3 linked regions of the Canis lupus familiaris genome follow. The protein of the gene in region 2 interacts with the protein of the main gene of each other region in a biochemical or structural test. Links are inferred from orthologs where the notes say so. Each region holds a gene or a part of one and is shown on either strand. Other genes may lie near its edges.

Region 1 (3,671 bases), on a different chromosome or scaffold from region 2:
CCTCCAGAAAAACAGGTTTACCCATGCAGTGCCCGGCAAGGCCCAGCGGGTGTTTTGTATTGTCACATCCTAATATTGACACTAGGAAAATCAGCTGTCCTCTCCAAGCCCGCCTCAGGGCGCTGACCACCAGCCCTGGCCTCTCTGCTGCCAGCCTCAATGCCAACGAGGAACTGGGGGCCGTGGCCTCATTTGCTTACATTCTGTATTTCTCCCAGGGCCTGGCCCCGGCCAACCAGCAGCAGGACAAAGAGACCAGGGAGCGGCTCCACATGTCCACTCTGGACCCACTGCAGGCTTCCTGGTGGCTGCCAACAACAAAACCCGAGCGTGCCGGCAACTTCCTTGAAACCTCTTGGAATTGTTCTGAGCCGAGAGAAAAAAACAGCCGGACTCTCGTGGGATCCACTATGTTCGAGGCAGGGGAAGCAAGAAACCATTAATTGTCTACAAACTTAATAGGTCCACTACAAACAGGATGCTTTCCAGGGAGAGGGGAAAATACCTCCGAGGTCAGCGTGGAGACCCAACCAGCGGATGGAGCCATCCTCCGAGCACCCCCTTCCACAACCTAGCCCAGCAGGAGAGGAAAAGAACGGGCTAATGCTGCTCTCTTGGTTTCTCTGCAGCTCAGCAAATCCAGCTTTTATACCTGCCAACCGCCTTGTGAAACTTGGGGTATGTAACAGGCATGCAACCCTCCGTCCAGCCTCTTCCCAGTGGGCCCTGGCTGTGCCACCTGCTGGGGATACTCCGCTGAGTGTGACATAGGTCCTATGGTCCTCATGGAGCTGCAGGCGAGCGTCATGCTAAGTGAGCACAAATGGGTAATTTCAATCTGTCTCCAGTGTCCTGAAACAGTACAATGAGTTCCTTGCACAGAGGATGGGCTGCACCTTTATAGAGGAGGTAGTCAGGGAAGACTTCTCAGAGGAGGCAAGCAAGCCAACGGAGCCAGGGAAGGATGACACCCGCAGGGACGGTGCTAAGTGCATCACTCCATTTGTTTTAGGCCTCACGGGATCCCTGGGGCTTGGAGAAACACCCTTGCTGACACAGTTCCCACCCTACCACCACCACCACCCCAAATCGCCTGGCAACCATCTTAGAAGGTTGATTAAATAGGATTCCCCTGTGGTGGGGGGGGGCACATTCTGAGGCACTGACTGAACAGCCACATCCTGGAAGCCAGTCTCCCCAGGTGCTTTAGACACTTCAAACCAAAAACAAGCATAAAGAAATTTGTAGAGCATTGACGCTGGTAAGAGCCCTACCCCACAGCTAAAGCCGGCAGTGACAGCCCTGTGACCTTGAGGTTCAAATGGTGGGAAATCCCCAAATCCTGGAGCGGGAAGGGAAGGGTGGAGGAGAGGCCAAGCTGTGGGCAAGGGCAGCACCAACAACCAGCGCTGAGGCTGGAGTCCCCGCCCAGCCATCGCCTGAGACAGACCACTTAGGGAACTAGTGCAAAAACCACACCAATCAACTCCTGAAAGGTGCCACTGCCAAGACGTTACCCCAAAAACATGCCCAAGAGAAGCAGACACAAGGTTAAAGCATTTGCGCTGAGGGAAGCCACTGAAGAGCCACCAACACCAAGTGGGTGTTCACAGCTGGTGGGGACCTCATGGACCCATTCTAAGGAATGAGCAAACTGAGGCCCAGAGGCGGGAGCAGCCCCTGTAGGACAACACAGCTGGACAGTGGCTGGGTGGAGAGCTTTGGCCGCGCTCCCAGAAAACAGCTCCGGGCTCTTGGTTTGCCGGCGTCTAGGCGGCCTCCTCCTGGAAGCGAGTCTCACTTTGACCACCTGTGAAACGAAGCCTCCAGTCTCCGGAGAGGGCCAGGATGCGGCTCACAACCCTCCCTTCCTGGGGAGCGGGCGAAGCCTCGGGGAGCAGGCCCGATCGGGGCCGGGCCACAGTGGGTGCGGGGCGGGGTGATGTGCAGCGGCGCCCCCCGGGGCGGCTCATTCCAGCCAAAACTACACTGACGACCAACGACCCACGGCAACACGGCGGTTTGGCGCCCAGGCGGCCGGCGGGTTCGGCGGCGCGGGGCTCGGCGGCGGGAGCCCTCGGGGTCGCGGGAGGGACGCGCCCGCGGCCGCTGCGGCGGGTTTGCAGGGCGAGGCGGGGCGCACCTGCGCGGGGCTGGAGCCGGGGCCGGGGCCGGGGCAGGGGCAGGTGCGGGCGGCGGCCGCGCCCCGCTCGCCGCGCAGTTCCTGTTCCGGGCGCCCCCGCCGCCCGCGCCGGAGCCTCTCCCGGCCCTTCGCAGGTGCGCGGCCACTCGGGGCGCCCCGGGGCCATCTTCCCGGTTTCGGCGGGGGGACCCCCTCCCCCGCGGGGGCGGGAGCCGGAGCCGGAGCCGATGGCGGCGCGGGGGGGGGCGCCCCATTACGCGGATGCGGGGACGGAGGGCCCGGGGGCGCCGCGGCCGGGACCCTCGCAGGCGGGGACCTGGACGCCCCGCCGGACAGGGGGCGTCTCGGAGCCGGGGGTCCCGGGAGTGACACACCCAACAGCGGCCCGGGACGGAACCACCTGGGCACAGGTCCCTAAGCAGCCCCCGCTCGGCACCCTGGGCGCCCATCTACCGGGCTGGGCGCGGGGGCGCGGGGTGCAGGGGCGCGGGGCAGCGGGGCAGCGGGGCCGCAGGGCAGCGGGTGAGGGGCGCGGGGCGCAGGGCGCGGGGCGCAGGGCGCGGGGTGCAGGGCGGCGGCGGGACCTGGACTCACCGCGGGTCCGGGGCGCTGGAGCCGGGACGCGACTGTGTGCGGCCGCCGCGGGCGCGCGAGCTTATAAACCGCCGGTCGCGCTCGGGCCCGCCCCCGGCCGCCTCCCCGCCCCCAGCCCGATCCCCGACCCGGGCTCGCCGCCGCCGCCGCCGCCGCCGTGCGCTCCGTGGCCAGGGTCTCCAGGCGGGTGGTCCCATTCGCCGTCCGAGCGGGTCCCGACCGCCCGGGGCTTTGGTCCAGGCCATTTCACCAATGTGGAAACTGGGCGTCGGAGAGGACCCAGCGACAGCGGGGACCCCCCCCCCCCCGTCATGCTCTCGGTGCTAGCAGCTTCGGGAGTTAGGTTTTGTTTTGTTTTTCTCAATTTTCTTTATTGTGGTGAAATACACACGACACGATTTACCGTATCAACCAGTTTTAAGTGTGCCGCTCAGTGGTGTTCAGCGCCTGCATAATGTGCAACGGTCGCCACCTCCCATCTCTGTGATTCCATCTTGTGAAAACAAACTATAAAAACTCCCCATTCCTGGGGCGACCGGCTGGCTTAGTGGGTGGAGCCTACGACTCGCGACTCTCGCTGTTCTGGTCATGGTTTCGAACCCTACTTTGGATGTAGAAATGACTTAAAATAGATATATGTATATATACATATATATATATACATATTTTTTATATATTTTAAATACTTTATTTACTTATTCATGAGAGACACAGAGAGAGGCAGAGACACAGGCAGAGGGAGAAGCAGGCTCCATGCCGGGAGCCCGATGTGGGACTCGACCCTGGGTCTCCAGGATCACGCCTGGGCCAAAGGCGGTGCTGAACCGCTGAGCCACCCAGGGATCCCCTATATACATATATTTTTAAACCTCCCCATTCCCTCCTTCACCCCTCGGCCTTGGCACCCACCTGGAATTAGGTATATTTCCGCCTA
Region 2 (3,572 bases):
ATATTGAGAAGTATATGAGTCATCTTGGCAGTTCAATGCTCATGGCACTCTGCTAGGTACCAGGGATGTGAGCAGAAATGACACCAGCGTTCTAAGTTCAAGGGAAAGCTGTTGGAGGACTTTAAGTGCCATGATCTGATCTATGTTTTTAAAAATCCTCCATATGGAGCATGGACTGAGCAAGGTTATCAAGACCAGAAGTAAGGCCAGGCAGGTCTCACTCACAGTGAGCAAACTGGCCTGGTGGAACTTGGAACCAGCTGGAGATGGCAGGTGTTGTCTGAGGGAGCAGCCACCACTGCCAGTTGGGACCAGGTGGAAATGAGGGCCCAGGCTGTGAGCTCTTAGTGGAGAGGAAAATCATGGGCTCTGTTCATTCATCGGTAATCCATTCACACTAAACACGCATACTCCCTAGGCCCAGAGGCTCCAGTCTGTAAATGGGGAGAGAGGGCCTGCACTGCAGCATCACTGAGAGGATTACAGGACAAATGGGGTGCAAAGTTTACTCATTAAAGGGTGCCCCACACGCTGGCTCCGCCCCGGGGTGGGTAATTTAACCCACAGCCCCACCTTCCCCATATCATGTGCTTCCCTCCTGACTGCTAAGGGCTGTTGCTCACCTCCTTCTGGGCCCAGAGTGTGTGTGTGTGTCTCTCTCTCTCTCTCTCTCTCTCTCTCTCTCTCACACACATACACACACACACACACACACCAGGGGGTGGGGGACAGCGACAGGGCTTCACAGATCCCATCCTAGGCCGGCATGTAGAAGGTATCCCTCTACTCTGCCCTCAGTGTCTACCCACCAGCCTCCCCTCCCTTCTCCAGAGGGAGAAGGAGCCTCGGGCCAATAGTACCTGGCCTTCCCCTGAATCGCTGGGAATTTAGCCCTGTCCCCTCTCCCTCCCTCCCTCTCTTAGTTGCATTGGTGCATCAGCAGGAAAGCTAAGGCCTAGTGGGTGTGCACTATGCACAGACTCCACCCTCCTCCTCAGCTTCTAGACCACTCATGGACCAGCTGTGGCTCATGGTGTCTCCCCATCCCTTTCTCTCCAGCCCTGCACTCCAGCCACCTAGCCTCCTGTTACTTCCCTGCCCCTGCTGATCTCTTTCCTGATGCAGGTTCTCCAGTATGACTTTTTAGCCAGTTCACCTTGAACAAAGCTCTTCCCAGCTTTGCACCCTTATGTCAGCTATAAAGTGCATTGGTCATCCCCAGCTGGGCGGCAAGAAGGAGGGCAGCCATGAACCCTTTACTTGGCCCAGAGTGGGCATGGATGGCTATAGTTTTTCAAATCACTATTGCATGCAGGTGGCCCCTTCTCCCACCCACCCACCCATATTATTGTCATAGAACTCAAACAACACCATCCTTTCTCTTCTCTATCCCTGCAGGATACTTTTGTGGAACTCTACGGGAACAATGCAGCAGCCGAGAGCCGGAAGGGCCAGGAGCGCTTCAACCGCTGGTTCCTGACAGGCATGACTGTGGCTGGCGTGGTTCTGCTGGGCTCGCTCTTCAGTCGGAAATGACCAGACACTGACCACCCACTTACCCTCCCACCCCTGTCCTGCCCCTACCACACCCCTTTGTCCAGCCACCATTGCCACCAGGAGAACCACTACATGCAGCCTACGGCCACCTTCCCATCACAGGGTTGGGCATAGACCAGGTCTCCCGCAATTAGTTTTCTAGAATCTACCACGCTTCTGTGAGAGCCGCCTTCCCCACACCTCAGTTCTCTGGCCTCAGAACCCACAAGGTTTCCCCAAAATCTGCCCCATGGAAGCTGGCAGGTGTGGGGGTGTTTGTGGCTGGGGGCTGGAGTCCCTGCCTAATTGGTGGAAAACCCCTTAGCCTCACCAAGAATGCTTTCCTGCCAGGTAGCTGGAAAGTTTCTGACCTTTTTCCCCAGAAGGAGAGACTAGATTGCCTTCGTTTTGATGTTTGTGGCCTCAAAATTAATCATTTCCTATCCCTTCCAGAACCTAGGCTCCCCTTCCTTTCATCCCTTTCAAGAGCCACTTAGGGGCCACTTCTGACTAATTAGGGATTCAAGCTGCTTGGGATAAAGAAACAAGGACCAGGACCTCCTCCCCACCTCTGGCCTGGCCAAAGTCCTTGACCCCAATCCCAATGTCCTCCAAAGGCCCCTGGATAGAGGCCAGCCCCACCCAGGAGGAAGAGGGCTGTAGCTGCAGGAAGCACCCCGTGCCAAAGCTGGGGTGGCCCTTGCAGTTTAGCACCACCCCAGTTCCTTTCCCCTTCCCCTCCCTTGGCTCCCATGACCATGACTAAGGGACCAACTGGGCTCAAGGCAGGTGCCCCAGAGCTGTTGATGGCTTCAGCTGCCTGACTTTCCTGCAAGAAGATCAGCGTGTGGCATCTTTGCCTGGAGCTACTTGCCCATGGAGCCCAGGGATTCGGGGGCCTTGGCCCAGAGGTGAAGGGGAGCTACAGGGAGCAGCTGTGGGAGCCCTAGAGTCTTCCCTACCTCAGGCAGGAAGGGCAGGAAGGAGACCCTGATGCACAGGGTGGAGGTGGGGGTGGCAAGAGGGGCCAGACCTACCTGGCCAAACAAATATATGCCCCACTCCCATTCAGCCTGGGGTGCCAGGCTGCCAAGGTCAGAGTGGCCTGGCCAGGAGTCCTTCAGGCCTCCCTCTCCTCTACTCCACCCATGGCCTGTCTCATCCCTGGGGGTCCCGGCCTATCCCTGGCCATCCTGGGCTCTCTGCTGTACATATTTGAGACTAGTTTTTATTCCTTGTGAAGATGATATACTATTTTTGTTAAGCGTGTCTGTATTTATGTGTGAGGAGCTGCTGGCTTGCTGTGCGTGTGCACGTGGAGAGCTGGTGCCCGGAGACTGAACGGCCTGATGCTCCCTCCCCTGCCCTGGTCTGGGGAAGCCAGCTGGGGGTCCTGGCTCCTAAGGGGCACCTGTCCCCCCCCCCAACTCCCCCCCACACTTGTTCCAGCTCTTTGAAATAGTCTGTGTGAAGGTGAAAGTGCAGTTCAGTAATAAACTGTGTTGACTCAGTGAGCAAAGGGCCTGGGCTCTTGTGTGCCCTGGGCTGGGGAAGGAGGGGCTGTGCGGTTGGCAACAGGGCTGCAGGGGAGCTGCGCATCACTGCTGGCTCTGCTGCCTTCAGGAGAGGGCCTTGGACAAGTCCCTTCTTCCACCTGGGCCTGAATTTCTCCACCTATTCTTTGATGGGGGTTTTATTGAACACCTGCTGTGTGCTAAGCAATGGGTATGTGGGAGCAGGATGGATGGATGGACACAGTCTCTGCCCTCAGGAACTGACATTCTAGGAGAAAAAACAGCCACTTGGCAAGTGTTTACTGAGTCCTGCTCTGCCCAGGCACACTCCTAGGCACTGGGGATTCTACAGTGAACAAAGCCCTTCCTTTATGGAACTCGCATTCTTGGGAGACAGACAAAATATAAGGATGAGACAGTCTGGCTGTTGGAGGGCAAAGGTAGAAGCTAAATGACCATAAGGAAGAAGGACAAGACTTATGAAGGACCTAGTGGGGAAGGAGATAGGAAGGAGTCGGACTT
Region 3 (3,651 bases), on a different chromosome or scaffold from region 2:
CACCTCCCAAGTCAAACCGCCGTTTGCTGGCCGGCTCCAGGGTTTCAATGTGGTACTTTCGTCACGTGCCCCTGGCATCCTCTTTACTGTTATGGACGTTTTCTCCATTTCAAGCCCCGCAGCCACCCGTTCCCTCCGAGTCCCAGCTCTCCTTTGCTGCTCTCTTTCCGGGACCTGCCCTGGGTCTCTAATTGCCGGTTACGATAAGGACCCAGCGCCCTGCCCGCACCTCCACCGCCTTCCCGCTAGGAGGGCCTGCCCGGCTCGCGGCTTCCCGACTCCGCCACCGCCGCAGCTGTCCCGGGGGGGGGGGGGGCGGGGGGGCGGGGGGGGCCCCCCGCCGGGATCCCCCCCCCCCCGGGTCCCGGCCCGCGGGGGAAGGCAGGGGCTGCGGAGCGGGAGGGTCCACGGGCCCGGGCAGGTCGCCCCGCAGCGACCTCGGGGGCGGGGCGGGGGCGGGGGCAGGGGCGGGCGCAGAGCCAAGTTTCGCCGCGTCACGGTCCCCGGGGCCGCCCTATAAGAGGAGGGCGCCGGCGCGCGAACGCGCAAAGCGAGCAGCGAGCGGCGAGCGGCGAGCGGCGAGCGGCGACCGGAGCGGCCCCTCGGGTCCTGCCAGCGGTGCCCGTGCTGGTCCCGAGCTGCCCGTGCTGGTCCCGCGGTGCCCGTGCTGGTCCCGAGCCGCCCGTGCTGGTCCCGCGGTGCCCGTGCTGGTCCCGAGCTGCCCGTGCTGGTCCCCAGGCCCAGGGCGTCGTGCGCTGCAGCTCCCCGCGGCCGCCGGCGGAGATGCCCGGCCGGAAGGCGCGCAAGAGCGCGCAGCCCGGCCCCACGCGGGCCCCCGAAGGTGAGGAGCCGCCGGGCCCCGGGGCTTCCCAGGCTGGTGGAGGCGTCGGGGGACGCGGGTCGGGAGGGCGGCGGCGGCGGGGCAGGTCTCCCGCGCGATGCGTCGCGGCCCGGCCCCGCCCGGGGGAGGGAAAGTGCAGGGGCGCGCAGGCCGCCGCGGGGAGGCTGCGCGCGGGGGAGGCTCCGGGAGCTGTCCGGGCCCTGGCGCCCCCGGAGCCGGCCTCTGCCTCCGCAGGGGGGCCGGGGCTCGCTCTGAGGGTTGCCGCCCTCGGGCCCCCGCCGAGCAGTAGGCTGGATCCTCCCTTCCGCGGAGGACTGGTGGAGGTCAGGGAGGCCAGGACGGCGGGGGTCCTGGGGAGTTAGGGAGGCCGGGACGATGGAGGCCCTGGGGAGTTAGGGAGGCGAGGACGATGGAGGTCCTGGGGAGTTAGGGAGGCCGGGACGATGGAGGTCCTGGGGAGTTAGGGAGGCCGGGACGATGGAGGTCCTGGGGAGTTAGGGAGGCGAGGACGATGGAGGTCCTGGGGAGTTAGGGAGGCCGGGACGATGGAGGCCCTGGGGAATTAGGGAGGCGAGGACGATGGGACGATGGAGGTCCTGGGGAGTTAGGGAGGCGAGGACGATGGAGGTCCTGGGGAGTTAGGGAGGCCGGGACGATGGAGGTCCTGGGGAGTTAGGGAGGCGAGGACGATGGGACGATGGAGGTCCTGGGGAGTTAGGGAGGCGAGGACGATGGAGGCCCTGGGGAGTTAGGGAGGCGAGGACGATGGAGGTCCTGGGGAGTTAGGGAGGCCGGGACGATGGAGGCCCTGGGGAATTAGGGAGGCGAGGACGATGGGACGATGGAGGTCCTGGGGAGTTAGGGAGGCGAGGACGATGGAGGTCCTGGGGAGTTAGGGAGGCCGGGACGATGGAGGTCCTGGGGAGTTAGGGAGGCGAGGACGATGGAGGTCCTGGGGAGTTAGGGAGGCCGGGACGATGGAGGTCCTGGGGAGTTAGGGAGGCGAGGACGATGGAGGTCCTGGGGAGTTAGGGAGGCGAGGACGATGGGACGATGGAGGTCCTGGGGAGTTAGGGAGGCGAGGACGATGGGACGATGGAGGTCCTGGGGAGTTAGGGAGGCGAGGACGATGGGACGATGGAGGTCCTGGGGAGTTAGGGAGGCGAGGACGATGGAGGCCCTGGGGAGTTAGGGAGGCCGGGACGATGGAGGTCCTGGGGAGTTAGGGAAGCGAGGACGATGGAGGTCCTGGGGAGTTAGGGAAGTGCGGACAGGCGGTCCTGGAGAGTTACAGCGGTACCGGAGAGTAGTTCTGTTTCTTAAGTCGTTAGTAGTTGCAGAAATGAGAGTTGGTCTCCAGGGCTTTGTAATCCATCCACTGTCCTCCTCCCTCGATATAACCCTCCCCCCTTATAAATCTTACCAAATAAGGCAGCTATCTGCTAGGGGGGTGGGTGGGCAGTAGCGGTGCATATTGCATCAGATAGTAATGGTCCCTTTAGTTTATTAATTTATTTGAGAGAGCACAAGCAGGGGGAGGGGCAGAGGGAGAAGCAGACCCCTGGTTGAGCCAGGAGCCCTACTTGGGCCTCGATCCCACGCCCCTGAGATCATGACCTGAGCCAAAAGCAGAGGGTTAACCAACTGAGCCACCTAAGCGCCCTACACTTAGTTTCGTTTCACAGAGTCCTTGAGGAGTGCAGAGGAAGTGATGCATTGACAATCTGGCCCTGACTAAGTTGGCACCCCGTGGCTCCTACTTGGGAGGCAAAAAGCTTCGCCCACCTTTTGTGATGTTAAAGAATTCTGCAGTTTGGGGAAGGCCTAACCTGAGCATTTATCTTTGTTCATAATAATACAGTACAGCAGAAAGGGACCTCTTATATTCCATTAGGTAGTAATACTTTCTTTTTTCTTTTACTGAGATGTGACATATCACATTGCATTAGCTTTGATTTATGTATGCATCAAATAATGATGATTTCGTATGTGTATATTGTGTGATTGCCAAATAGGTTTGCTTAACATCTCACCTCATGTAGTGTCAGTTTTTTATTACTACATTTATAGAAATATAATTAACAGAAAGATTAAGGAGACCACCAGCAGCTAGTTCTGTCCACAACCCCCCCCCCCCCACCGCCCTTTTAGTGACAGATCATGTTTTCTCCTAAAGCCCCCTCGGAAGACAGGAGGGAGGGGGGAGGGAGGGAGGAGGGCTGGAGGGAGGGAGGAGGGAGAGGAGTAGGGAGGGAGTGACGTGAGGGACGGAAGGAGGAAGGAAGGAAGGAAGGACGAAGAAGGACGTAACAGAATTACGTCCTGTCCTTAACTTCCGTCTCCTTCCTTCTTTCTTTCTTCTTTCTTTCTTTCTTTCTTTCTTTCTTTCTTTCTTTCTTTTCTTTCTCTCTTTCTTTCTTTCTTTCTTTTTCTTTCTTTTTTGGAATCCTTTTTCTTAAATTAATATTCATTTAATTACAACATCTCACTTCTAAAAAGCAGTAAACTTGTAAATTAAAATTCTTCTGCTTCACTCATAAAGGCAATGGATTGGTACGAATTCGGTTTGTAGGAAGAAATTGGTTTAATTGGCAAATATAAATTGCTAAGGTATTTTAGAGAATGTAGACTTACTTTTGCTACAAGGTTTTATGAGTCTTATGAGAAAATTTCAGTCTTTTTCAATGAGTGTAAGAGCACGTTTAGATTTGTCTATGAATGAAGGCATAGTCTGAGCTGTGAATTACTGCCATTTAAAAAGTAAATCCTGGGGTGCCTTGGTGGCCCTGGTTAATAAGCATCTGCATCAG

The links.
Region 1: the proteins of BCL2L1 (region 2) and BIK interact in a test that uses a peptide from one of them, tested with the Homo sapiens proteins (3 studies listed by BioGRID and IntAct, with this or other methods). The link is inferred for Canis lupus familiaris from reciprocal best matches to the Homo sapiens genes BCL2L1 and BIK.
Region 3: the proteins of BCL2L1 (region 2) and PMAIP1 interact in a biophysical measurement, tested with the Homo sapiens proteins (3 studies listed by BioGRID and IntAct, with this or other methods). The link is inferred for Canis lupus familiaris from reciprocal best matches to the Homo sapiens genes BCL2L1 and PMAIP1.

The regions. Positions count from the first base shown.
Region 1 is NC_049231.1:23,388,836-23,392,506, forward strand, and holds the start of BIK (bcl-2-interacting killer), read right to left. Parts: upstream 2,818-3,671; 5' UTR 2,738-2,817; intron 1-2,737.
Region 2 is NC_049245.1:21,645,005-21,648,576, reverse strand, and holds the end of BCL2L1 (bcl-2-like protein 1), read left to right. Parts: intron 1-1,398; coding exon 1,399-1,536; 3' UTR 1,537-1,560; intron 1,561-2,963; 3' UTR 2,964-3,050; downstream 3,051-3,572. UniProt on the Homo sapiens protein: Potent inhibitor of cell death. Inhibits activation of caspases. Appears to regulate cell death by blocking the voltage-dependent anion channel (VDAC) by binding to it and preventing the release of the caspase activator, CYC1, from the mitochondrial membrane.
Region 3 is NC_049222.1:16,559,399-16,563,049, reverse strand, and holds the start of PMAIP1 (phorbol-12-myristate-13-acetate-induced protein 1), read left to right. Parts: upstream 1-781; 5' UTR 782-783; coding exon 784-841; intron 842-3,651. UniProt on the Homo sapiens protein: Promotes activation of caspases and apoptosis. Promotes mitochondrial membrane changes and efflux of apoptogenic proteins from the mitochondria. Contributes to p53/TP53-dependent apoptosis after radiation exposure. Promotes proteasomal degradation of MCL1.